Drosophila melanogaster: one gene and its partners. The protein of the gene in region 3 interacts with the protein of the main gene of each other region in a pairwise test. Each region holds a gene or a part of one and is shown on either strand. Other genes may lie near its edges.

Evidence for each region.
Region 1: the proteins of Rab6 (region 3) and GCC88 interact in a two-hybrid assay, tested with the Drosophila melanogaster proteins (2 studies listed by BioGRID).
Region 2: the proteins of Rab6 (region 3) and Tmf interact in a two-hybrid assay, tested with the Drosophila melanogaster proteins (2 studies listed by BioGRID).
Region 4: the proteins of Rab6 (region 3) and Golgin97 interact in a two-hybrid assay, tested with the Drosophila melanogaster proteins (2 studies listed by BioGRID).

The regions. Positions count from the first base shown.
Region 1 is NT_033777.3:11,227,472-11,232,341, forward strand, and holds GCC88 (GRIP and coiled-coil domain containing 88 kDa), read right to left. Parts: upstream 3,130-4,870; 5' UTR 2,979-3,129; coding exon 2,897-2,978; intron 2,844-2,896; coding exon 1,019-2,843; intron 951-1,018; coding exon 770-950; 3' UTR 700-769; downstream 1-699. Other genes in the region: CG17726 (uncharacterized protein), read left to right, coding at 1-699; CG17187 (uncharacterized protein), read right to left, coding at 3,338-4,237; Dph3 (diphthamide biosynthesis 3), read left to right, coding at 4,546-4,653, 4,723-4,797, 4,870-4,870.
Region 2 is NC_004354.4:6,842,767-6,848,578, forward strand, and holds Tmf (TATA element modulatory factor), read left to right. Parts: upstream 1-1,574; 5' UTR 1,575-1,840; coding exon 1,841-2,408; intron 2,409-2,476; coding exon 2,477-3,986; intron 3,987-4,062; coding exon 4,063-4,339; intron 4,340-4,403; coding exon 4,404-4,631; intron 4,632-4,690; coding exon 4,691-4,909; 3' UTR 4,910-5,081; downstream 5,082-5,812. Other genes in the region: CG14435 (uncharacterized protein), read right to left, coding at 1-280; Cht11 (chitinase 11), read right to left, coding at 5,342-5,720, 5,786-5,812.
Region 3 is NT_033779.5:12,106,641-12,110,801, forward strand, and holds Rab6 (Rab6), read right to left. Parts: upstream 2,477-4,161; 5' UTR 2,160-2,476; coding exon 1,533-2,159; 3' UTR 581-1,532; downstream 1-580. Other genes in the region: ThrRS (Threonyl-tRNA synthetase), read left to right, coding at 1-122; Phae1 (phaedra 1), read left to right, coding at 3,003-3,815. UniProt on the Drosophila melanogaster protein: Protein transport. Regulator of membrane traffic from the Golgi apparatus towards the endoplasmic reticulum (ER). Mediates membrane trafficking during egg chamber growth and organization, possibly upstream of exocyst component Sec5.
Region 4 is NT_033778.4:13,449,006-13,454,145, reverse strand, and holds Golgin97 (golgin 97), read right to left. Parts: upstream 3,561-5,140; 5' UTR 3,322-3,560; coding exon 3,148-3,321; intron 3,057-3,147; coding exon 2,271-3,056; intron 2,219-2,270; coding exon 2,120-2,218; intron 1,825-2,119; coding exon 1,411-1,824; intron 1,356-1,410; coding exon 1,116-1,355; intron 1,058-1,115; coding exon 935-1,057; 3' UTR 753-934; downstream 1-752. Other genes in the region: cnn (centrosomin), read left to right, coding at 3,788-3,972.

The DNA of each region.
Region 1 (4,870 bases), on a different chromosome or scaffold from region 3:
CGTCGGCTAGAGGATGTGCCCCAGGGATTCTCCCTAGTTCTCGCCCACGAGTTCTTCGACGCCCTGCCTGTGCACAAGCTCCAACTCGTAGATGGCAAGTGGCAGGAGGTGCTCATCGATGTGGCATCCTCTGATGGCGCACAAGAAGCTAGCTTCCGATATGTGCTCTCACGTAGCCAAACACCCGTTTCGAGTCTTTATCGACCGCTGCCCGGCGAGACACGATCCTGTTTGGAGCACTCCCTGGAGACGGAACGACAGGTGGGACTGCTCGCCGAGCGCATCGAACGGGATGGCGGCATCGCTCTAATCATGGATTATGGCCATTTTGGCGAGAAAACCGACACTTTCCGGGCCTTCAAGCAGCACAAGCTGCACGATCCGCTGGTGGAGCCGGGCAGTGCTGATCTCACGGCCGATGTGGACTTCAAGCTAGTGCGGCACATTGCCGAGACACGCGGAAATGTCCACTGCTGCGGTCCCGTGGAGCAGGGACTGTTCCTGCAGCGAATGCAGGGTGAGGCTCGACTGGAGCAACTGTTGGCACATGCGCTGCCCGAAAACCAGGAGATCATTCGCTCCGGCTACGAGATGCTCACGGATCCAGCCCAGATGGGCACTCGCTTTAAGTTCCTGGCCATGTTTCCCGGCGTGCTAGCTGCCCACCTAGACAAATACCCAGTCGTCGGATTTAGTTAGTTATCTATTTAGGATCTGTTTGTAGGGTTTTAAATATGTTGCACATGATTGTTGAACAAAAGTACGAATGTTATTTCTTCTGGAATGATGCATTGATCGCCTGCATCTCTGCGGCGGTGAACTGGAGCACCGCCGAGATGGCGTTCAGCATGTGACGCTTGCCGTCCGCGTCCCGGGTAACAATGTAGCTGATAATAACGTTCTTCAGGTACTCCAGATTGGCACCCTCGCGCGTCTTGCAACGTTCGAGTCTAGAATGGGAGTAGAGATCGTGGCATGACTTTCTAAGACAACAACGATAACAACGACAACGACGCACCTGTCCACCTGCTCCTTGAGGCACTCGATCTTCTCGTGCATTTCCTGCTGAGATGTCACCTTGTCCTGGATCGCCTTTCGCAGCGTCGACTCGGCGGCGTATTTGGCTTTCCGCAGTGTCGTGATTTCGATGTCCTTGCGCGCCAACTCGTTGGCATAGTGCAGCATGTGGCAGTTCTCGCCCATCGACATTTTCTTGGAGCGCACCTTTAGCTTTCTTTCCCGCTGCTCCCCCTCCACGCTGTCGGTGTCGGAGGAATAGTGAAAGGAATCGGCAGCTGCTTCAAGTGTGGGTGTGGCCAGTGTGCTGCCCACACCGCTGGCCGAGTGAAAGACCTCGAAGGAGGTCTGCAGTGTCTTAATCTCCTGCTCCTTCTCATCCAGCAGCTGCAGTGACCTCTGGCGCTGCTTCTGCAGTAGCTGTTCCAGCTCGTTCAGTTTGCAGCGCGTCTCGTTCTCCAGTTCAGCCTTGGCTTCCTGCCACTTGGTTCGTTCGTTCTTCAATGCCAGGCGCAGCTTTTCGCCCTGCTGCTTTAGTTCGACTTCCGCCTCGTCGATGTTGCGATTGAGCACCTGCACCTTCTCCTGCAGCGTTTGGATGTGCGAGTGCTGCAGCTGCACCTTCTGTTCGAGTAGCTGTCGCTGCTGCTTGGATGCCTCGAGCATTTGCTGCACACCCTGAAGCTGTTGCTCGCAGTGGGCGTGACTCTCGACTCGGGTAGCTGTTTGGCCGCTAAATGATAGGATCTCCCCGAGATCCAGTGGATTGGCAGAACGGGCATTGGCTGTGGTAAGCAGTTTCTTCAAGCGCACCATCTCGTCAACCAGCGTGGCTACGTCCACATCTTCGTTTAGCGCCCTTGAATTGGATGTTGGACGCACATGTGCCTGCTCTAGATCCTGCAGCTGCTGCTTCAAATCATGGATGCTGTCCTGATCTTGCTGACGCAGGCGGTCGTAGCTGCCGACAGTGGTGCTGAGCTCCGCCAGGCGTGCCTCTAGACTGGCCACGCGATCCTCGTGCAGCGCCGCCTGCCTGCGACTCTGTTCCTCGGCACGCAGCACGCGACGCTGTTCCTGACGAATGGCCACTGCATGCTGCTCCTTCAGTTGCTGCATCTCAAGGCGCACTTGCTGAAGGAGAGCGGCGCTGTCCGCACTCGCTGACGCTGCTGCAGAGTGCTCGGTCTTGGCCTGGAACTGTTTCAGCTGGGAGCGAGCCTCCTTTAGCTGGGATTGCAATTCCCGTAGCCGGCTATTCTCTGCCTCGTTGCTGGCGAACTGGGTCTTGAAGTTGTTTAACTGCATCTCAATGTTGTCCTTTAGATGCCGCTCGTCCGCATAGAGTTTCTGCAGTTCGCGGATCATGAGCATTTGGTTGTTGGTCTCTTTCTCGCGCTCCTGTCGCTCCACGATCCACTTGGCCTTGATCTCGTCCACGTCGCTTTTGGCCCGAGCAGCCTGCTCCTTGGCCCGGGTATTAAGCTCCTGAATGGTCTGCTCCTTTTGGGCGATTTGGCTGCGCAGTTGCTTTTTATCCGCCTGAAAGGAGGCCTCCATGCGGGATTTCTCAGCGGAAAGAGTGGCCAGCGAGTTCATCAGGGTGATAATTTGGGTCTGCAGTTGACCCTCGGCCGGGGGAGCAGGCGGACCCGGTGCAGCGCCCTCGGTTGCTCCATCCGCAGAGTCGGTGCTGGTTTTTTTGGACTCCAACTCCCTGGCCGGCGATCCGGACTCGCCCACCGCCGTGGCCTCCGCATGCGCCGCCAGACTCGTCTCCAATGCCTCCTTCTCCTTAAGCAGACCCTTGTAGGCAGTGACCACGTCTACAAATTGGGCTCATTAATCCATTTGCATTGCGAATTCATCTATGTCTCACCTTTTAGACGCTTTTCATAGCGCCCCAGTTGCTCCTTTTGGGTGGACACCAGCGCCTCCAGCTCCCTCTGTCGCTTCTCCATTTCGCCTTGAAAGGGAATTAGTTCATTTACTTTCAGTTCGCTTAGTAGTTCAATTTATTTATCTCCCGTGTCATTTTTGCATTTCTTTTAATTAACAAATTTCAGCAGCTGGCACGCGGGCCTGCCAACTTGTCATGTTTGCTCAGGCACTAAAAATTGCCATCATTCTGATTTAAACTTTTTTTTATTTTTGCGGTTTTTCAAAAAATAATTAATAACCAAATTTACATAAATTAAAAACTATTTTAAATGTAAATGTATTATAAATCAGCTGCATAGTTGCTAAATTGAGATATTTTCAAACATTAATATTAGTCCAATTAAAGTAAATTAAATGTTGAGCCTAACTAAATCTTATTTCATTCGCCCTCCTCGTCCTTCATCATCTGCTCAATGAGTCTCTTACGTTCCTCAGCTTGGCGCAGCTTTCGCATGACCAGGTCCTCGTAGTCGGTGGATGACGCACTGCACCCAGTGGTGGCCGATTTGGTTGTCTGCTTGTCTGCCGCCGGCGGCGTTACCCACTCGAAGTGCAGCGGCTTGGCGGGATCGCCTTTTTCGTAGGCCAAGACCATGTCGCAGGCTTCGCGCGTGGCCAGCTCCACCATGGCGCGTCCGCGTCGCTTGCTGTTGACCACCAGGGCCACCACGTCGCCGTACTTCTTCAGATACTTGAGCAGCTCTTGCTGTGTGTAATCCTGGCCAGGTTCGGCCTTCCACTTCATCTTGATGCGATGCTGGGCGGAATCAAACTGGACCGGCTGTTGCTGCAGTTTCTGTTGCTCCGCGTGATTCCGCCGGAACTGCTCCTGCATGGCTCGCTGCTCCTCCTCCAGCAGACGGGAGCCCTCGCGTCGCAACCGCTCGATCTGCTCATGCAGCACCTCCTCGTCGCTTTTGGCCACCGTGCTGTAGGGTTGGCTCTTCGCCAGTTTGTGCAGTGCCGCCCGTTCACGTTCCTCCAGTTCCAGCTTCAGCTTCTGCCGCTTCCCGTCCAGTTGGCGACTCCTCAGCTCCGCCGCCTTCTTGGCCTTCAGCACTTTGTCATAAGCTGCGCGCGCGGATTCATCCGTGAGGATCTCCAGAGCCTTGGACAACTCATGGAAGCGCTCGACTGCCTTCGGATTGTCCGGATTCTTGTCGGGATGGCACTCGAGGGCCTTCTTGCGGTACGCCTTGCGTATCTCATTTTGATCAGACTCGAGAGAAATGCCCAGAAGATCGTAAAGATTCACGTCACTGTACTTTTTGCTAGCCATTTAGTCTTATTTTACTCCTTATTCAACAACTGGAACATGGGTTTGTTTTGCAGTTTGTCTTTTTTGGGCAAAAGTTAGCTAAAATATACTATTTTATACGAGACTTATTTCACAACTGCAGCCGGCGGTCCAAAAATGTCCAAATAAAACATTTGCAATTGTTTACTGGATCAGCTGTTCGCTGCAACGAGTTGGCAGCCCCGCAACACAACGTGCCCATTTGTTTGGCGTGGATTAATCTAAGTTATCGCAAAAAAAACTCAAATATAATATGACCTTTAGGCGCTGAATTAAGCTGAAGGTACGTCATGAGCATCTATCACGACGAGGTGGAGATCGAGGACTTCGAGTACGACGAGGAGGAGGAGATGTACTACTATCCCTGTCCATGCGGCGATCGATTTCAGATCTCCAAGGTAACGAGTCGTATACGCAACCTTTTTTTTTCTGGACTCCCCATATCACTTGGTAAATTTCCACTTTAGGAGGAGCTAATCGAGGGCGAGGAGGTGGCCACCTGTCCCAGCTGCTCCCTAGTCATCAAGGTCATATACGATCCGGTAAGTGACTCATTCAGAAATACACCTAGAACTCCCCAGAAAACTCAAGCAATCTGATTTTCCGAATTTCAGG
Region 2 (5,812 bases), on a different chromosome or scaffold from region 3:
AGCTGAGACTCCGCGCCCGCTGGCGATCGATGGACGTGGAGTTTTGGTTGTGGTACACCTGCAGGCCGGGCAAAGTGCGCAGCAGATTGAAACCCTGACCGGTGGTATCATTGCCGCCACCGCCGCCGCCGTTACCGCCACGATTCTGGCCGGGATTCGAGTGCTGGTGTTGCTGCTGCTGCAGCGCAGAATCGGCGGCTCCTGTTGAACTGCTCGAGAATGTCCTGGAGCGTGGGCTCTGTTGGCCACTGGTCGCCGGAGTGCTCGCCTTTTGACCCATAGATGCTGATGGAATTATTAACTGGGCGACGAACCTTTGACCACCTGCGCCTGCTCCAGCTGCTGCTCCTGCTGCTGCTCCAGCAGCGCCTTCTGCAATTCTCCGCCTCCGCGAGGCGTCCTCTTTGTCTGCTCCTTCGCGTGCGAAAAACGGAGCAGACAACAATAGCAAACAATGCGATGTGCGATTTGCGATGTGCGGATGATAAATGCGGTCGCTTTTTTGTCGCTCGCTTGATAAGTGTATGTGTGTGCGTGCTTGTGTGTGTGTGTGCGAGTGTGTGTGTGTGTGAGTGTGTTTTGGTGTTTGTGCCAAAAGTGATGGTGCTCGTGGAGTGGATGGGGGGCGGGGGTGGGAGTAGGTGGCAAGGACGGGGGGCGGGCGTCAATCGGTGCGTAGTTGAGTCGCGATTGTTATTGTTGCTGCCCCGTTTTCTTGTCCTCCGCCTGCTGATTCCGGGGACTCAGATGTTTCAGATGTTTCAGATGCTCAGGTGTTCAGTTGCTCTGGTTCTCCGGTATATTTGGAACTCGAGTCGGCTCTGCGGTCGCCGGATGATGACTCCCGATGACAACCGATGACTGATGGATGATGGGCACTAGCTGCTCCTGCGCCTGCTACTACTTGCTACTTGCCACTTGCAACGGGCTCCTGCTGCCTAATCCTATGGAATCGGATCCAAACGCTACGCGGTGCACTACTGCTGCTCTCGCCGACTAAAAAATAGGTGTGACGCGACACGACGCTGCTGGCCAATCTGCCTTGATTACACTCTCAATTTAAATGACCGTTTTCCATATTTTTTTTTAATTTTTTTTTATACATTACATTAAAAGAGTTTCTCGATATCAACAGAGGCGTTAGTCCAATTGGGAGGGCCAATCGATTGTCGACGGGTATTCTAATAAGAATGGTGTCGGTATTGTGTAGGCACCTAGCTGAGACATGAACCTAGATGGGGTATTCTTCATTTGCGCATTTATAAAATATAAATTTTAAAGTATCATTTTAATATTTTTGTTTCACCTACATGAGGTATTCGCTTTTTTCTTTCTCAAATTTATCAAATTCTTTTGCATCGATTCAATGTTAAGTTAGTATGTACTGAAACTGCACAAAACTAAAAAATTATAATTTCTAATATTAGCTAGATTTTGTGTGTTACTTAGTTCACAATGGTTTGATTGGAAATCAATTAAAAAACAAATAGTAGAATATATATGTTTAAAAAATGCATTTTCATTGCACCGTGTGCTCACTGTAGTGCACGACCGGTGGTCACACAGCTGGCCTATCGATAGCCGACTATAGTTATCGGGGCTGAGTTGAGTTGTTGAAAACACAATTCCAATTGGCCATTAAATAGTCAAATCCGCAGCTTCCCAAAACATCAGGGACTTGCATGTGCCTCCCAAGGAGCAGGAGATTGCAGCAGGAGCAGCCGGAGCAGCAGGAGTGCGATCTGGACTAGGACTCAATTCGCCCAAGCTACTGCGGCGACGTCAACAGCAATATTGATACAGTGGCACTTGGGGCTGCGTTTCCACATCCGCACCGAAGATGAGCTGGTTCGAAAAGGCCAAAACGGTGCTAATTGAGGCGCTGGACATCCAGGATGACGACAGCAAGGCGGCGGAGAAGGACTCGCCGATGGCAGGAGCTGCGAGCGATGGTGGCGCATCGCCTGGGAACAATGCAACGGCGGAGACACCTGGATCCGCTGCCACGCCCGCTTCGGATACGCCAACATTCTTTGACAATCCGCATGCCAACGAAATGGTGACCATTCCACCCACACCCACATCGGTGCCAGGAAGTGCCGCCTACGGCAAACGGCAGTCAGCCACCTCGGATTCGGTGGATCTGCTGTCCTCCCCAACCTCGCCCATCTCGCCCTGCGGCGGCGATGTCCCCTCGGTGGCCAAGCGCTTGTCTGAATCCTCGCTAGAACTCATAACGGCCACCACGGCCAGCGAAGTGGAGATGTCACCGGACACGGAGCCCTCCTTGCCCGACAGCATTGTGATAATCGCCAGCAATGACACATCCGACAATGCCGAGGGTGATGGCGAGGATGATGACGATGAGGGCACCCAGCTGAAGCGCCACATGGAGGACCACTTGAATGGTATTGGGCCTTGTCGCAATTCTCTTTTTTGTATCGTTTGCTAACTGTGTAAACCTTTCCCTCTGCAGACTCCACCAAAACCATGAAGGCTCTGGTCCTGAGCGACATCCAGGTAGCCGGTAATGCTGACTCCGATTCCACGCAGAGCTTCGAGGACATCCAGCTGCAGATGAGCCACAAGGGCAAGTCGCCCGCTCCGGCCAAGACGGGAACGGTGGACCAGAGCTACTCGTCCACCTCATCGGACATCGAGATCATCTCAAATCCGAATGGCGACTCCAGCACCAACAGCACCACCACGCGCACCAGCCCGCAAAAATTCAAGGAGCTCGCGGGCGGCAAGGTGTGCCTAAAGGCCAAGGGACATCATCGCGAGCCCTCGGAGATCTCGCTGCTGTCGGAGGACTCACAGTCGGAGCTGGATAAGCTGGTGCAACGCATCAGCGAGCTGAACCAGGTGATTGAGGCGCGGGAGCAGCGACTATTGCAATCAGAGCGCCAGAATGCCGAGCTCCTCGAGCGCAACCAGGAGTTGCGCGCTCGCGTCGAAGCGGCAGCCAATAGCGCCAACAGTCCGGATGCGGCGGATGCAGTGCAGCGTCTGTCGGCGCTGGAGAAGAAGTTCCAGGCCAGCATACGCGAGCGCGATGCCCTGCGCATCCAAATGAAGAGTCTGCGCGATGAGCTGCAGAACAAGATACCCAGGGATGAGCTAGCCGAATGCAACGAAATGATCGCCGCCCTGCAGTCCGAGGGTGAGAAGCTGTCCAAGGAGATCCTGCAGCAGTCGACGATCATCAAGAAACTGCGCGCCAAGGAGAAGACCTCGGACACGTTGCTGAAGAAGAACGGCGAGCAGATCTCGTTGCTGTCCAGCGAATCGGAGCGCCTCAAGAGATCCCTAGCCGCCAAGGAGGAAATGGAGCGCACGCAAATCGAGGCAGTTTGCCGGATGACGGCGGAGAAGAAGCGCGTGGATGAGGAGAACGCCGAGAGCCGCAGTCGCATCGAAGATCTTCAGTCCAGACTAGCTGCCCTGCAAGCCAGTTTCGACGGCCTAAAGGGAGATCTGCAGAAGCGCACGCGCCTGGAGCAGGACAGTCTGCGTGCCGAGCATCAGGAGTACGTGCAGCAGGTCTCCGATCTGCGCGAGAAACTGCGCCTGGCCGAGCACAGCCTGGCCAGAAGGGAGCAGCAAATGCGCGAGGAGAACCGCCAGCTAATGCGTCGCCTGGAAGCCGCCGAGCTGCGGGCGGAGAGCTCTACTCAAGAGCTGGGTGCCACTACCACGCCGTTGATACGACAGATCGAGTCGCTGCAGCGTACACTGGACCAGCGATCCGCTGCCTGGAACCGCGAGGAGCAGCAGCTCCTCCAGAAACTGGACGACTCACAGGTGCAACTGCGCTCGCTGCAGCAATTGGAATCCGTACAGGGCGAGAAGCAGGAGCTGCTGCGCACCCGTTGCGGCCTGCTGGAGGAGAAGCTGTCCAGTGCGCTAATGGAGGCGGAGGCCGCCAAGATGGCACTGCGTCAGCACGATCTGGAAGCGGCCAACAAGGAAAACGATCACAAAAAGTGCGTGCCATTAAACCTTGTATTGATTTACCCATTTTTAATATCTACCCATGCAAATATATTTCTAAACTAACAGACAATTGAGCCTGCTGCAGGAGGAGATTCAGCAGCAGCAGGAGAGGATTGCGAGTCTGGAGCAATTGTGCCAGCGGCAAAAGGAAGAGGAGGAGCAGCGGAAACAGCCCACGCTGCTGACAGTGAAGGCGGTCAAGGCTAGCAGTGAGTTGCAGCCACAGCTGCAAATGCAGCTGCCGAAATCCCAGGCACCACTGCGCTCCTCACCGCCCCTCAGTTTGGTGGACGACAGTGGTTCCAACGAGGAGGCCCTGGGCGGCATGATCGACTGGCAGGCGGTAATGTCGCCTAATCTTTCAAATGAAGAACCTTCTTAAGTTTCTAATTCACTTTCAAATTCAGGACGACCTCGATTGCGCTTCCAACTCGGGTCGCCAGCAATCGGGCATCATCCAAGGTGTACACCTGAGCTTTCTGGCGGCCAACACAACGACCTTTGAGCACCTGCAGGCTCTGCTCAAGCAGCGCGACGGGGAGCTGACCCACCTGCAGTGGGAAGTGTCGCGCCTGCAAGCAGAGCGAAGCGTTCTCGACGCCGAGATATCCAATCTGACCATCGAGCTGGAAACGGTAGGAGAATAGCCCATCTTGACAAGAGATAATAATGAATACTATTCGTCCAATGGTAGATGAAGGAGAAGCAGCAGATGTACGAGGTAATGGAGAAGGGATACGAGGATCTGCAGCATCGCTACGACGCCCTGCTCCAGATGTACGGCGAGAAGGTGGAGCGCACCGAGGAACTGGAGCTGGATCTGACCGAGCTGAAGGCGGCCTACAAGCTGCAGATCGACGAGCTGCTGGCCGCCCCGCCACCCAATCTGCAACGGCCGTCGAAGCAAACATGATTGCCGGAGCGCAGGATCGTCTCCCTGCCCGAGTTGCCATGTTTGCGACGGACGTGGCCACCGTAACGTTGCCCATCTCCGTCTCCCATTCCCAGTTGTAATGTATTATGCTTTCAATACTAATCGATACGGATCCGGTATGGGGAACCCACTTCCAAGTCCCAATCCACCCAAAACAACAAAAAAAAAACCAACACATGTACATGCGAGTATATATATTACCTATGATTTGCGTATGCTGACACCTTCTAGTTATATTATAAATTGATCGATTGTGATAATTTAATTTATATTTATATATACATAAAGTTATCGTCTATGACTATGTACAAAACTGTTTCTGTTCCGAGCAGTTTGCCAGGCGGTTGTGAAGCAGCCAGCAGAAGCAACAGCCTCTTCCAAATACATCAAATATCATTTAATACAAAGTAATCACAGGGACTCCCGCAGGATGTCCTTAATGGCCTGGGTTAGCGGAAATACAGGTTTCTCGCTGTATTTCAAGTTTGGCATAATGCTGCATGAGTTCTTGAGATCATCGGTGTTCAGCGAGAAGACCATGACGCCACCCAGATTGAGGGATTTCACATAGTTCGCCTTGCAGGCGATACTCGTTTGATTTTCGTACGATATCCACTCCTGCAGAGCGCTCAAATATGGCGAACAGCTCTCGGCATCGTAGGACAAGTTTGGCTTGAAGAACTTGGTGACACACTCACAAGTTTCGGTCAGTGTGGTGAAGCCCAGTTGGCCACATTTACCGTAACCGGAAGCAGGAGCTCCTATGCGATGATTTAAAGGATTAACCAACCTGTTTGGTGGGTGAGGAAGTATAATTAATGAGGGATTCATTCCATAATACATGCAGTTACTAACGTAAATGAGTGGCCGTAGGTGGGCAGA
Region 3 (4,161 bases):
CGAATACCGTTAACGTGCGCACTCGGGACAACAAGGTGCACGGCGAGGTCTCCGTGGCGGAACTCATCACAAAGCTGCAAAAGATTCGCGACGAATTCATCGCCAACGAGGACAGCTTCTAAGACTCTATTTCGAACTATTTATCAAAAGTATACTTAACATTTGCATAGCAAAGCAAGTACGCATTTTTGTTCTTTCTATGTATTTACGCTTACGAAACCGGAATTCACAAATAAAAAACCAAATCCAAACACATTTTAAGGTGTTTCAAATAGAAGAGAAGAGCATGCAATCAAATAAAAGCAATTCGATTCAATATACGATTATTAAGCTTCCCCAACTAAAAATCGTATTTTTCTGATCCACCTTAAGCCGCCTATTTCACTCCAGTTTCTTGACGAATCAGTGGAATTTGTCAGCAATTGAGGACTAGTCATGCCGACACAGAGGTGCGCTGTAGTCCATTCAGGAACGATTTGGAATGATAAGATAAGTCGGCCCACATTTGGCGGAAAACTTTTTGGGAAAGGTGTGCGTGCACCCACAACGTATGAGTCATGTTTTGAATTTATTTTTTTGTATTAATTTATTGCTAGTATCTTGTATACTTTTCATTTTCATAATTTGATTTATTAAAAATTGCATCAATAGTTTATGTTTTTATTCAATTATCAATTTTGTAAGCTTTTGCTTTTCGCGTAAAAAATGCACAAAGTTCTCTCGCTAATCGAAGCAAAAATCGTTAATAATATTGTTAAGTGTTTGCTCTGCTCGTGCTCTGCTTATCTGTTTCAGTTTTAGTCATAAAAATACATATTTTATATTTGTGTATATTTATTCATAAGATGCACGTGGCCAAGTCCTATGCCATCCACAGTTCCAGTTAGCAGTCGCGTTCGCTGTGCTAAAAAAAAAACCGAAATCCTAACCAAAACTGGCGAAACAAAAGCCGCAAACAGAACAGAACGGGGGCTAAAATTGGAAACAAAATGCCTGGCTGGTGGAATCATTGAACACAGACTGGCTGCGTGGTATCTACGACTGCTGGAGATGCCGAGAGCTGGAATGTCGGAGGATCCTGGGACCGCCTGGCCTGACATAAGTACATGGTCTTGGGTTTTTTTTCGTTTAGAGGGTTTAGGGGGTATCGGAAATGCACTACACTATATTCTTGTCTGGTAGCTAACTCGCAAATATTACTCTGATCTTGATCCCTGATCTCGTGTCAATGAGTTAGCATTCGCACTCGCCTGCGCTCGGGATTAGCTCGTCAATTAACAGTAATTAGTTAGCCGATTTCGTTAATTGTTGTTTAGTCTATTTGCCTTTGCTATCATTTGTTACTTTATAAATAAACTTAAACGTAAAGTGTGTATGTGTGTATAGATGTTGAGGAATCCGCCGCAGATCCGGCCAGTACATACACCTGACACCTGTGTACACCAGTGCTGCTGGCCGATCTCCTGCATCTGCATCTGCTCCTGCTGTTGAAAAAGGGGGAGAGGATGGTTGGATCGTCGGCTCAACCGGTTCTAGCAGGCGCAGCCGCCCTCGGGATCCTTTGTCTCGTTGGGTGAGTCCTTTAGCACAACCTCCTGCATGTCCTCGGAGGGCTTGTTCTCCGTGGAATCCATGCCGGGCAGTGCCGCGGCCACCCGTCGGAACAATTGCTTCACATTGTAGCCGGCCTTGGCGCTTGTCTCGATGAACATCACGTTAAGCTCCTTCGCCTTGCGCTCACCCTCCTCGGTGGACACCTGACGCTTGTCGGAGAGATCCGTCTTGTTGCCCACCAGCATGATGATGACGTCGCTACCCCGCTCCGTGCGCACGTCATCGATCCACTTGGAGGTCTGGTGGAACGAGTTGGTGTTGGTGATATCGTAAACGACCACTGCCACCGTGGAGTCGCGTATGTACGAGGGTATCAGCGAGCGGAATCGCTCCTGTCCCGCCGTATCCCACAGCTGCAGGCGCACAGTGCGATCCTCCAGGTACATGGTCTTCGATAGGAAATCAATTCCGATCGTCGCCTGGTACGTGTTGTCGAAGCTGTCGTACATGAAGCGCGTAATCAGCGAGGTCTTGCCCACACTCTGCTCGCCGAGGAAGACGAGCTTGAACTTCCGCAGCGGATTGCCAAAATCTCCGGATGACATCTTCCTCAACGTACGTGTCTACTTTTTCTTAATTACGGGTTTGCTGAACTCTCTTCTCGCTCCGCTCCGCTCTCACCAATCTCCACCCCTCCTCACTGTTTATAATGGGGCTGGGCCAGCGGTTTTCGGGGCCCTTTCGCACTGCGATTTCTCGGGATGCACCGCTTTCAAGTTGCCGCACTCTATTACACACGCTCTAAATGCTTTCCGTCTGGCTAAAGACTCAATTGCGGCTCGAATGGCTTGGTAAATCGCTAGGTTGAGTCGTGGAAAAATTACGGTCTCTGCTTCTTCTTCTTTAACTTCTGAGTCAGTTGCTGTGTGACCAGAGTGGCAATCAAAAGCAATTTCTCTGCCACGCTATCGATAAACGCATATTTGTACTAAATCGATGTTTTATGATTTAAAAAAAAATCGATTGATATTCGTTACCGTTATTAAATAATTTTAACTAAAATTTACCTGCTTAAAATGTTTAAATACTGATGAAGTACAAGGTAATTGCTTAACTTTTTATTTCATATTAAAAAGTGAATACTAAGTGTAAGAAATACTAACAGGTGATAACGCGATTTTCAAATATAAAGCTCTCTAAAGTGATTTGCTTGTTTTTAGATAAACGAGCGTAGGTATTTGCCCATCCTATCGGTGGAACTTGACGTACTTCTGTCAAAGAGTCACTGTTCGGGCGTCGCTTAATCTCAAATTATAATAAGTGGTTATCTGAAGAACACACGGTCCTTAATTGAAAGCCTTATCTGCTGGCGCTGGCAAAATTTTGGAATGGCGAATTAATTTAAACGTGCCGCGATAAAGGTCGATGTAAACAGTTCCGCGAAAACTATGTTAGCGAACGGACAGCAAACAAAGTCGTTGGCCAGTGGGCTTCTTCTCCTACTGGGCATATGCCGAATATCCGGAGTGGCTATCGGCGCACCCGAGGGGCGTGTCGTGGGTGGATCTCCGGCAGCGGTGAATAGTGCTCCCTATGCGGTGTCCATGCAGTACGGTGGCACCCATTACTGTGCCGCCAGCATTCTGAATGCCAACTGGCTAGTCACCGCTGCCCACTGCCTGACCAATAGTAACCAGGTGCTGGGCAGCACCTTGGTGGCCGGAAGCATCGCGGTGGACGGAACTGCAAGCACTACGCAGACGCGGAGCATCACGTACTTCGTGATCAATGACTTGTACACCGGCGGAACTGTGCCCTATGACATCGGAATGATCTACACGCCCACCGCCTTCGTTTGGAGCGCCGCCGTTGCCCCAGTGACGCTACCATCCTCGGGAGTGGTGCCCACTGGCACCGCCAATCTGTACGGATGGGGCAGCACTAGCACCACGAATACCGCCTCCTATCCGTCGACCCTGCAGGTGGCCACCAATGTGCCTATCATTTCGCTGAGCTCCTGCGAAAGCGCCCTGGGCACCAAGGGCAGCGATGTCCACTCGACCAATCTGTGCACTGGTCCTCTAACTGGCGGCGTTAGCATTTGCACCTCGGATTCGGGCGGACCACTGGTCCAGGGCAATGTCCTTATTGGCATCGTGTCCTGGGGCAAGTTACCTTGTGGTCAGGCCAACTCACCGTCGGTTTACGTGCAGGTCTCGTCGTTTATATCGTGGATATCGGCTAACCAGCAGGTGTCCTAAATAGTCGAGTTTTTCCCTATTTTTTCAATAAAAGCAATCAAATGTGTGTCCCTAGTGGCGGTCACTTAAATGTGGGACTTTCCTTCGCATCACAGCTACTATATCAAACAACGAGCTGTTTTTTAAAGTTTATCTTATCTCGTAAAGAGAGAGGAACACGGTGAGCAACCAACGAACAGATTTATATGCTTCACATATTTTCGGGCTGTAAATAACAATTTCTTACATTGCACAATAACAGAATAACGAACCGAATCATTGTGAAATATGTGAGTTAAGTAAATAATGTTGAGACTATGGTTTCAAAATCTAAACATTTCTTACCAGAACTAACCTTTTTAACAAT
Region 4 (5,140 bases), on a different chromosome or scaffold from region 3:
TAGACTGCAGATTATTAGCAATTACCTTAGGTATAAATGATGTAATATTCGATAGGTGAGACAGTCTTTTGAAATTCCGTGTGCCAAATTTTCCGAAACCTGACAGAAAATTCACAATTGGTTAAAACCTAAGTACGCAATTTTGATTTAAATGCATTTAACGCCTAGACTTAGTTTAATATTTAGTTTAAAAAGTGTAAATAGATAACTATATTATGAAGCAATATTGACGAATATGCGACTAATTGAACTGTCTTCTTAATTGTTATAAACACCAAAAAGTGCCTCATTAATACGTGTGTTTTTTGTTTAATCTTTAATCCTCCTATATCATTTATTCATAGATAATACAAATGAATAGTTAGTTATTCATACGACGTAGGTCTTTGCAATAAACAAATTGAAGTAAATTCATATTTATAGTTAATTTTAGTGAACGTAAAATGTAACAAACAATATTTTTAATTGTAAAATGCAGTATTTTTAAAAATTAAATATTGACTTTTATTAATGGTTTTTTAATTGTCTAACCGGGACTCCTAGATGGCGCCACCAGGTAATGTAGAGTGGAAGTTAATATCGTGTAAAGTAAAATGTATGTATTATACACACATTCTACCTAACGATGGTAAATTCGATTTTATAAAAAATGATATGGATTTGAATAGTCTTTCAAATAGTTGAATAGTCTTTCTTTCCTTCAAGACAAATGCACGGATGACTAAGATTTACTAAATGAAAAACGGCATTTTACATAAATGTTAGTTTATTATAAAAATCACAACGGTAGAAATAAATACTATTCAACAAAATGGAATGTTGTTGGTAAACAAAATAACACAGTGCTGCGTATGCAATTGGTATGTACATATTACACGAACGTTATGAATTGACTATAGATTAGAGTACAAATGTGATGTATTGCTGTGGCTACTTAAGTTGGTTTCATGCCAAACCAACTCATCTTCCAATTCAATGTGTCGTGTAGCAGCTTTTCCTCCTCGGTTGTCAATTGAAGTAATGTGGATACGGCACGAACAAGATGGCGAGCTTCCACCTAAAGAAACAAACATGAAATCGAATTAATTATACAGGAAACAGATGAAATTGCATACCTCGCGACTGGTCAAGAACTTAACAATTACGTGTTTCAAATATTGAAAATTAACTTCGTCCATTATGACGCAATTTCCCTTGTCGCCAGTTGAAAATGCCTCCAGCGATGAACTTGAGATTCTGTGACCTGGTGTCGTTGTCGGATGAGATTCACTGTCCGTGGATATCTGCGCACTGCGTAGTTCCTTCTGCACTGTTTTTTTCAAGTCAATCAAACGCTGATTCAGTGTTTTTATTGTCTAGACAGAAAATTGGTTAATAAAATTTGCCAAAACCATTCATAACAAATCTAACCTTATTCTTTTCGATTATTTCCAACTGAACTCGCTCGAATTCGGTCAACTTGTCGGCATTATCCTGTGCTGTGCTGCTGACCTGCTGCAACGTTTGCCGTGCCTCGGATATATCCCTCACCAGCTGATTATTCCTCTCCTGGAGGTCGCTGGCTTCGCTGCGCTCCAAGCGCAGCTGTTGCCGTAAAATGTCTTCGCTCTGGGCGATTTCCGCATTGCGAAGTATTGCAGTCATTTTCTCCTCTCGTTCGATTTCCAGTTGCATTATGGTTTCGTCCAGCTGCTCCTGCTTTTCAGTCACCTGAACCCGTAGCTTTTGGGCCACCTGCTCGGCATTCGAGGAGTACTCGCTGAACCTGTCATCCGCTGCCGTGAGACGAGTCTTGAGATCTTTTACCTCTGTTTCCAAATTTTGCTGAGAACATTCGGTTTATTGGTTTACAAAATCTCCATCAATCAGTTTTGGATATTGAGGGTAAACATATATATGCGTGCATTATTGAAGGAAAAAGTTTACCAAAAAGTTTGCCAACGATTAAATCAGTTTAATACGAAAAGGAAAACATTTACAATCAAAAACTACATAATAGGTGTGGTTGGAAAATTCCAAGTAAACCAGGAGCTTAATTGGTAGAGTTAGTACTGCATTGTTGGTTAAATTAGTGTTACAAGTCCCAATGGAAATCGTCAGAATCGGGAGGCATACTCACAGATTTATTGCGCTCAAAGAGGACTTGCTGCTCGTTCTCCTCTCGGCACTCTTTCAGGGCCACACTAAGTTCATCGATTTCCTCCTCCAGCAGCTTGACCTGCAATTAAAGTGCATAAGTATTGGCACATAGGTATTACTATCTAACCTACCTTATCGTCCCGCTGCTTTATTTCATCTTTGGCTTTTTCGAGTTCGAATGATACCTGCTTGCGGCTTTCAATGGCATCGTCGCGGGATTTAAGGGCCTTTCGCTTTTCGGTGGTCTCTTCGGCCACTTGCTTGGATAGACGACTAACTTGGGTTTCCAGCGCCAGATTCTGGCCACTCCACGAGCCTTTGATGTCCGACAACTGCAGATGGGCCTCCTCTAAGTGCTGTTCCAGCAGTTTATGTTCCCGGATAAGGGCTTGCACTTGTTGCTCGGAGTTCAGTTTGCCCAGAGACTCGAGTCGCGACTCCTCGACGATTTTCATGCGCTTTTTGAGGTGCCGGTTCTCCTCCTGTACAGCCGCCAGTGTTGTGGTCAGCAGATTCTTCTCCTGCTGTGTAGAATGTCGCAGTTGCTCTAGTTCGTCGCGTAAATCTTCGGCCACGGATTCAATGGGACGCAGACGTTCTAGTTCCTCGCTCAAGGACTCGATTTGCTGGGTCTGCTGGCGCATGAGACCCATGCGATCCACCGACTCCTGCTCCCGAAAGCTAAGCAGATTCTTCAGCTTGTCAATCTCGATTTGCTGTAGATTCTGAATCTTCTCCTGCTCCTCGCAGTATATGTCCTTCTGCGTCTGGGCCACACGCACACTCTCTAGCAGAATCTCGTTGGTCTTGTCCACGCGCGTCTTCTCCTCCTGCAGCTGCTGCAATCCCTGCGTGACGGTGGACAGCTTCGTGGTGAGCTCGTTGCACTGACTTCGCAGCTCGCACAATTGCTCCGACTGCGAAAAGAGTGAAGGTGTTTGTTTATCCGTGTTTTTGTTTAATGTGTAAGTATACACAAATAGACTGTTTTTTTTTCGCTCAGTTTACCTCATTGTAGAATCCGCCACCGCCCACATCATCAGCTGAGTTGGAATTAATGCTAACGCGGCGACTACGTAGCCGGTAATTGTTGTTGTTGTTGCCGGGATAACGTTGATTGGCTGATTGGACCACATCATCGCCAGTTTCCTCCTTGATCTTGTTTTTCAGTGTAGCAAACATTGTTAGGTTTTTCGAGGGGGGAGCTTTTTCTCTGTTGCGCTGCTCTATTTTCTGTATGTGTACTGCCCCCGACTGAAGTTGGCCTGCTTGTGGCTGGGGCTGACGAAAACGTGCCCACAGAGCGTTTATAGCATGGCGTTATATCTGGTGGCCGTAGTGTTCTACTTGCTTATCAGGCGAATGCTAATTTTCGTAAACCGTCGATGTTGTTTACCATCGATAAGAATCGACTTTGCAGTAACGTAAATCGACGAACAGCGTTGCCATACCGCTGTGTTAACTTTTTCCCGTTGTACGGCAGTGCTGCCAGTGCGCATGGCAGCATTTCGATAACTGACGCCAGAAACAGCTGTTCCAGCGCGCTTCATTTTCCAAACAGAAAAAAAGTGTAATTGTTAGCGTCCTTTGTGAAATTGTCAAGTGTTAGAATTATTGTGTGCGAAAGTTAACTATTTGAGGACCTCCCATGGACCAGTCTAAACAGGTTTTGCGGGACTATTGCGGCGACGGCAATGGTACCTGTGCATCGTCCTTGAAGGAAATCACCTTAATTGAGACCGTGACCAGTTTCCTGGAGGAGAATGGCGCCGCCGAAATCGACAGAAGGGTCCTGCGCAAACTAGCCGAGGCACTGTCCAAAAGCATAGACGAGTAAGTCCAAAACACTAGCATAAACAATAGCTTACCAATAAGACTTGTGTGGCAAATCCATCGAAATCCCTGGCAACTGCGAGTGCGCAGCAGATGATCGCCATGTGACATGGTGATCGTGCCCACTGTGATCGGGAACTAACGCTCTCAGCTGGAGCTCTCCCGCATCCGTACTGCTCGGCCCCATAGGGGGAGGCATACTCACAAGCACAGGCGTACAATGGGCGTATTACCCACCCCAAAAAATTCGAAGAGAGGAACAATAATACATCTGCACTGAAAAAAATTTTAAAGCTAAATTTCCATCAATATTTATTTTAAAATGTTTTTTAAAAACATTAAGTGATTTGGATTAATTTACGATTTTAAATGAAATAAGATTTGTAAGGTACTCTTATAAGATGTACTTTTATTTTTAAGATTGTATGCTTCATCACTTTTTCAAATGCTGAATAGAGTCAAAGTTTAATACATTTTTTTATTATAATCTTTAGATTTACTATTACTATTCTGATTCCTAATGAAAATGAAAATTTAAAAGAAAAAGAATTGGGAACACAAATGTAATCCCTTAAGTATACAACAGATATTTCTGTATTCTATTCGTAGCCAATGAACTGAGTTTGCTGACCGCTTTCTCGCTGTGTACGGCATTGGGAAATGCGTAACATCTGCTGAGCGCATTTTCCTTTTTCCTCGCAGATGAGCCCGAGTTTTCCGCCCGTTTGCTGCTCTGCCTTTGGTCGCTCTGAATCGGTCGCATCGCAGTTTCAGTCAGTTATGTTCTAGCTTTCGGTTTATTTGGACGTGCAGAGAGCGTTTTTCGGTTTATTTTGCTTGCCTCTCGGCTATCAATCGTGCCATATGTACATACATACATATCTATATACTCACTTACCCATATATACATACATATATGTAAATAGAAACAATCAGCGGGTCAAGCGTTGTGCGGGTGTGTGAGTGATTGATTGTACATACATATCTGTACATAAGTGCAATTGTTTATATTGCACTGCGAGATACAAAAAGTGATAGATTGATTTGTAATTTATTGCATTCGTTGCTGTGGATAAGCGATTAGTGGGATGCTGGTGGTTCTCGGATGAAAAACAAAAAACCAAATCGAAATACACAGATATATAAAGTACAAAGTGTGCTCGGATTT